2 linked regions of the Macaca mulatta genome follow. The main gene of each other region encodes a partner of the protein of the gene in region 2 in a complex. Links are inferred from orthologs where the notes say so. Each region holds a gene or a part of one and is shown on either strand. Other genes may lie near its edges.

Region 1 (4,234 bases), on a different chromosome or scaffold from region 2:
CGTGCCACGAAGCTGATTCTCTTTTTTGTTTTCTTTTTTCTTTTTTTTTTTTTTTTGAGGTGGAGTCTCACTCTGTCGCCGAGGCTGGAGTACAGTGGCGCGATCTTGGCTCATTGCAACCTCACCTTTGCCTCCCGGGTTCAAGCAATTCTTCTGTTTCTGTCTCAGCCTCCCAAGTAGCTGGGACTACAGGCGTCCACCACCACGCCTGGCTAATTGTTTTGTATTTTTAGTAGAGATGGGGCTTCACCATATTGGCCAGGCTGGTCTCAAACTCCTGACCTCATATGATCCATGCGCCTCGACCTCCCAAAGTAGAGGGATTACTGGCGTGAGCCACCGCGCCTAGCCACGAAGCCGATTTTCTATAGCAAATACCTAAAGGCCAGTGCCCACTGCTAGCAGCCTGCCTAGTTCAGTGATGGAGTTAGATGCATACCCTTTCTAGTCTTCTGGGAGGAGCACCCCCATGTCCACAGCTGCTGTAACACCTCGAAGTGGCCAGGGACTTCGGATGCCATTGGACCCTAGACAAGCCAGGGCCACTCTGAGCCCTCCCTACCTATCACAGGCAGGGTTAGGCTGAGGTCCCTAACCCTGTGTGGGTTAAAAAGCTGTGAGGCCCCTAGAGTGGGGTGGAAGGGGGCAGGACTTCAGGGACAACAGGAATTCGAGTCCCAGGGTTAATTGTGACACATTGCAGGAAGGTGAAGCAGATGCACCTTAATTTCATGGATGAAAAGGATCGGATCATCACAGCCATGTACAATGAAGCGCGGGAGCGGGCGCGGGCCAGGTCTGTCCCTGCTCTATTCTGCCCCCTGCTCCCTGTCCCGGCACCACACTTCGGGATCCCTATCCCAACCACCCAGGTGCCCTCTCCTCCAGGGCCAACAGAGCCAGCCTTCAGCAGGAGCGACAACAGCAAAGGCAGCAGCAGCCGCCACCACCGGAGCCAACCCAAGTCCCCGAGATCGTGCCCCCGGGCGCCGGCCCCTGAGGGGCTCACCTGGATAGGGCCTGCAGTGCGTTCCCGCCTTGCTTCCTTCCCTGGACTGCCCGCTTCCCAAAACGCGTGCAATAAAGTGATTCGCAGAGCTAGTGTGCGGCTCCCTCCTTCAGGCCCGGCGCCCCCTGCCCCGGCTTCGCCGAGGGGCAGCGCCCCGCCCTCTGGGTAGTGACTGCCGCGACCCGGGAGCCCGGCCCCCTGGGCGGTGCGTCCCCTTTCCCCTGCAGCGGCGGGAGGCGGGAGGGGGGTGTGTGGAGGAGGCGGGTCCCGCCGGCGGCCTCGCCCCCCCACCCCGCCGCCCCGCCCCCGCCCCACGGCCCGGTGGGGAGCGCGTGTCTGGGTCACATGAGCCGCCCGCCCGCCAGCCCGGGCCCGGCCCCCCGCCGCCCCCGCCGTCCCCGCCGCCGCCGCCGCCGCCCGCCGCCACCGGCCGCCCGCCCTCCCGGCTCCTCCGGCCGCCTCCGCTGCTCTGCGCTGCACTGCCTGCACCCAGGGCTCGGGAGGGGGCCGCGGAGGAGCCGCCCACCGCGCCCGGCCCCCGCCCGCCGCGCCCGGGCCCGCGCCATGGGGCTCTGGCTGCCGCCGCCCCCCGCCCCACCGGGCTAGGGCGATGCGGGCGTCCCCGGCGGGCGGCCCCCGCGGGCACCATGAGCCCCCTGCTCCGCCGCCTGCTGCTCGCCGCGCTCCTGCAGCTGGCCCCCGCCCAGGTACGTGCGGCCCGACAGCGCGCCCGCCAGCCCGCCCGCCAGCCCGCCGTGCCCTCTCTCAAGGTTGGCGGAAGTGAGGAGGCGACCCGCGGCCTCGGCCGGGGGGATCTGCGGGGTCCGGCCTTGGACGCGGGCGTCTCGGGGCCCGGCGCGTGCATCCCCTGGGAGGTGCCCCTCCCCGCTGGCCCGCCAGCCCCAGTCTGGGGCCACTCCTCCGCCCCACCCCGTCCCCTGGGCACCGCCGGGGGCGGGGCTCCCTCAGTGCTCGCAGGACCTGCTTCGGTGCCCACTGTGCGCGCTCCTGATCTGCATGCAGCCCCCAGACATGCTCGGTTCTGCGGCCTGGAGATTTGATGAGGCCGCCGGAGCACCTGTTGTGTTTTGGGCCAGGGCAGGTCCGGGGTGGCCAGGAAAGGACAGGTAAAGCTAGAGCAGTGGCCACAGGAACAGAGCAATCTGGAAAGATGTCAGAGAGGTGGTGAAGCCTCCTGATGCAAGGGCAAAGCCCCAGGGATGGCGACAGGGAAAGACCCTCCTAAAGGGTACCTTGGGTACAGGTCTTTTCTCTCCCACAGGCCCCTGTCTCCCAGCCTGATGCTCCTGGCCACCAGAAGAAAGGTAATACTCATAAAAACTCGGCACTAGCCAGCACTGAGAGGGTTTGTCATTGGCCCTGATTCCAGGTGCCTGGTGTCCGTCATCTTGTATAACTCCCCTAGAATATGCAAACTGTTATTCTACCCATTTCACAGAGGAGGAAATTGAGGCAGCGGGGTTACTGGGATCTGGATAAACAGGGCAGGGGAAGACAGGTTGTGAGGGCAGAGTGGGGAGGGCTACTGGAGGGTGGCTGTGACTTGGGGACTGGGGGGGACAGCTGCTGGGAGCAGCTGCAGGAAAAACAGTGAGGACTTAACCCCTACCGGTCTGCTCCCAGTGGTGTCATGGATAGATGTGTATACTCGCGCTACCTGCCAGCCCCGGGAGGTGGTGGTGCCCCTGACTGTGGAGCTCATGGGCACCGTGGCCAAACAGCTGGTGCCCAGCTGTGTGACCGTGCAGCGTTGTGGTGGCTGCTGCCCTGATGATGGCCTGGAGTGTGTGCCCACTGGGCAGCACCAAGTCCGGATGCAGGTACTGGGCATATGGAGCAGTGGGCAGGGGTTGCAGGTACTGGGCAGGTGGGGCAGTGGGCAGGGGATGCAGGTACTGGGCAGGTGGGGCAGTGGGCAGGGGATGCAGGCACTGGGCAGGTGGGGCAGCGGGCAGGGGATGCAGGCACTGGGCAGGTGGGGCAGCGGGCAGGGGATGCAGGTACTGGGCAGGTGGGGCAGTGGGCAGGGTGGATGCTGGCTGGCTCTGGGGCTGGGGCAGCCTGGAGACTGAGGCACAGGAGGTAGGGTTGGGGGGAGGGCTGGTGGCCAGCCTCCTGGCTGTTGGGTGAGCTTTTCTCCCTCCAGCCTTAGAGCATCCCCTTTCTCTCTCTCCCTCACTGTCCCCCCTGTTCTTCTCCTGAGCACAGATCCTCATGATCCGGTACCCGAGCAGTCAGCTGGGGGAGATGTCCCTGGAAGAACACAGCCAGTGTGAATGCAGGTGCCAGCCAGGCCCAAATTCTGAGCTTACAGAGGCCAGGCTGGGGGGGTGCTGGGTATGGTGGTCCACAGAACTGGGGACCAGGTTCCTAAGAGTAGAGCCAAGGGTAGGCCTTGGATCTGGGGCAACAAAGTAGGATGGTTGGGTCAGTGGCTCACACCTATAATCCCAGCACTTTGGGAGGCCCAGGTGGGCGGATCATCTGAGGTAAGGAGTTCAAGACCAGCCTGGCCAAGATGGTGAAACCCCGTCTCTACTAAAAACAAAAACAAAAACAAAAATTAGCTGGGTGTGGTGGCGGATGCCTGTAATCCGAGCTACTTGGGAGGCTGAGACAGAAGAATAGCTTGAACCCAGGAGGCGGAGGTTGCAGTGAGCTGAGACCATGCCACTGCACTCCAGCCTGGGCAAGAATAGGGAAGCACTCCAGCCTGGGCAAGAATAGGGAAGCACTCCAGCCTGGGCAAGAATAGGGAAACTCAGTCTCAAAAAGAGAGAGAGAGAGTAGGATGCTGGGATTTCCTGATCTTCCTCCTCTTTGTGTCTATCTCTCTTAATTTTTCAGACCTAAAAAAAAGGACAGTGCTGTGAAGCCGGACAGGTGAGTCTTTTGGACTCCAGCTGAGTGGGGGCAGGGGGAGTACAAGTGAGTCCGGAAGCTGTTGCCCCTCTTTCTCCTCCCACCTGTCCCCCGCTTTCCCTTTTCCTCTGCTCCCCAAGCCTGTGTTCTCTGTCCCGACCCCAGCTCCAGGGAAGACTCTTCCTTCCCACCCCAGACATGTCGCTTCTCCTCCCTAGGGCTGCCACTCCCCACCACCGTCCCCAGCCCCGCTCTGTTCCGGGCTGGGACTCTGCCCCCGGAGCACCCTCCCCAGCTGACATCACCCATCCCACTCCAGCCCCAGGACCCTCTGCCCACGCT
Region 2 (2,300 bases):
ATGGGTTATAGTTTTGAACCCTGATCTAAATCAAAGAATGGCAACAAGTGCCTCCAAGTGATGTAGTTAGCACAGTTCATCGACCACAAGTAAATGGGAAAGACAGGGGCATTTCCAGGCAAACATCTGTGTGTGTGTTTCCTTTTCACATGAGCACAATGGTATTAGAATTGAGTTACAGCCCATCAGAGGCACCAGTGAGGAATGAATGGATCAAAGGGGAAGGTAGGATACTTGCTCTTTTGTTTCCTACTTTGGAACACCTCAGAAAATGGGTGGTGACTAATTTTATCTAGATATTTGTTAAAGAAAAACATAAACCATAAATTGTATCCTCTACTCTGAGACTGAAAATATACAACATGGACATGTTAGTCCAGACCAGTCTAAAACATGCTTCACAGGTTCCCTTCCTCATCCCAGATCCCTTGAAAATAAAAAATTCAAACGAATATTAAAGGGCAAGAGCAGCCCTTCCTCCTCAGGTGTCTGTCCTAGTCTGGGTATAACGTAGAGGACCCAGAAGCAAGTTTCTCCACCCTTGAGCCTTGCTGGTGACAAGTAGCACCATAACTAAAAGCGTTTCCTCTTCTAGAACACAGGCACGATAGGGAGAGGGGCACTCACCTGTGTGTGTGAAGCTCTATTGTTTTCTGAGACTGTTGTAACAAATTGGCACTAACTTGGCAACTTACAAGAGAAATTTATTCTCTTGCAGTTCTGGAGGCCAGAAGGGAGATAAAATATGAAAAATGTGAATATTTTGGAGGGCAGGAGGCATTTCTCAGCCTACCACAGAAGCTGTTTGACCCGAGAATAGGAGAGGGCTGCACCCAGGTCTTGGAGTTACTTTCCACCCGGATTATGGGTTTGCGTTATCTTAGCAGACATCTCACACCCTCCCCCAGCCACTGTCTTTCTGCCCCATGACACCCAGCTGCTATGAGGGAGGCCGTGTGCAGCTTTAGAACAGAGGAAATCTGACAGCAGTTGAGGGGGGGTTCGAAAACCATGAACTCTAGGACAGGTATGAACAAATGACCCACTCAGAAAGAGTAGATTTTAGTGTCTTGTTTTCTAAAAACCAATTCTGAACATTTGATTTCTTTCCTTTCTTTAGCTTGAGAGTCACCAGTAAAAGTAAGGAGTCGGGGCTTTCTGATGCCAGCAGGCCCAGTTTCTGCCATTCCAGCTGTGGGCACATCAGCGAAGGCAAGCGCAGGTTCACCTACGACAACGCTGAGCTGGAAAGGAAAATCGCGTGCTGCTCCCCGCCCCCAGACTACAACTCGGTGGTCCTGTACTCCACCCCACCCGTCTAGAGTGTGACACAAAGCCTTATTTCTAGAAGCACATGTGTATTTATACCCCCGGGAAACTAGCTTTTGCCAGTATTATGCATATGTAAGTTTACACCTTGACCTTTCCATGGGAGCCAGCTGCTTTTTGTGATTTTTTAATAGTGCTTTTTTTTTTTTTTTTTGACTAACAAGAATGTAACTCCAGATAGAGAAATAGTGACAAGTGAAGAACACTACTGCTAAATCCTCATGTTACTCAGTGTTAGAGAAATCCTTCCTAAGCCCGATGACTGCCCTGCTCCAACCTCCGCCACCTCAGGGCACACAGGACTAGTTTGATTCAGGAGCCGCACTGATCACCCAATGCATCATGGACCCCACTAGGCCAGCCCCGCAGCCCAAAACCCAGGGCAACAAGCCCGTTAGCCCCAGGGATCACTGGCTGGCTGGAGCAACATCTCAGGAGTCCTCTAGCAGGCCTAAGACACGTGAGGAGGAAAAGGAAAAAGGCAGAAAGCAAGGGACAAAAGAGAAACCGGGAGAAGGCATGAGAAAGAATTTGAGACTCACCATGTGGGTGGGGAGGGGGACGGGGCTCAGCAATGCCATTTCAGTGGCTTCCCAGCTCACCCTTCTACATTTGAGGGCCCAGCCAGGAGCAGATGGGACAGAGATGAGGGGACATTTTCTGAATTCTGGGAGGCAAGAAAAGGACAAATACCTTTTTTGGAACTAAAGCAAATTTTAGAACTTTACCTATGGAACTGGTTCTATGTCCATTCCCATTCGTGGTATGTTTTGATTTACAGCACTGAGGGTGGCACTCAACTCTGAGCCCATACTTTTGGCTCCCCTGGTAAGATGCACTGAAAACTTAGGTTGTATCCATGGCATGATGGCCTTAACACTTAAAATGTCACATTCTATTTTGAGTATTAATATACAGTCCAGACACTTAATTTCTTGGTATTATCCTGTTTTGCACAGTTCATTGTGAAA

The links. The genes of interacting proteins can lie anywhere in the genome.
Region 1: the proteins of FLT1 (region 2) and VEGFB are in contact, whole or in part, in a crystal structure (PDB 2XAC), measured with the Homo sapiens proteins. The link is inferred for Macaca mulatta from reciprocal best matches to the Homo sapiens genes FLT1 and VEGFB. Residues at the interface, in NP_002010.2 of Homo sapiens: Tyr139, Glu141, Pro143, Phe172, Pro173, Tyr199, Ile202, Gly203, Leu204, Asn219, Leu221, Arg224, Thr226; in NP_003368.1 of Homo sapiens: Ser37, Trp38, Ile39, Tyr42, Thr43, Thr46, Cys47, Gln48, Pro83, Asp84, Asp85, Gly86, Leu87, Cys124, Arg125, Pro126.

What each region holds. Positions count from the first base shown.
Region 1 is NC_133419.1:10,163,808-10,168,041, reverse strand, and holds the start of VEGFB (vascular endothelial growth factor B), read left to right. Parts: upstream 1-1,434; 5' UTR 1,435-1,656; coding exon 1,657-1,716; intron 1,717-2,291; coding exon 2,292-2,334; intron 2,335-2,653; coding exon 2,654-2,850; intron 2,851-3,134; exon of another isoform or gene 3,135-3,238; coding exon 3,239-3,312; exon of another isoform or gene 3,313-3,715; intron 3,716-3,771; exon of another isoform or gene 3,772-3,877; coding exon 3,878-3,913; intron 3,914-4,110; coding exon 4,111-4,234. Other genes in the region: DNAJC4 (dnaJ homolog subfamily C member 4), read left to right, coding at 704-1,178. UniProt on the Homo sapiens protein: Growth factor for endothelial cells. VEGF-B167 binds heparin and neuropilin-1 whereas the binding to neuropilin-1 of VEGF-B186 is regulated by proteolysis.
Region 2 is NC_133422.1:8,289,733-8,292,032, reverse strand, and holds part of FLT1 (vascular endothelial growth factor receptor 1), read left to right. Parts: intron 1-1,120; coding exon 1,121-1,322; 3' UTR 1,323-2,300. UniProt on the Homo sapiens protein: Tyrosine-protein kinase that acts as a cell-surface receptor for VEGFA, VEGFB and PGF, and plays an essential role in the development of embryonic vasculature, the regulation of angiogenesis, cell survival, cell migration, macrophage function, chemotaxis, and cancer cell invasion.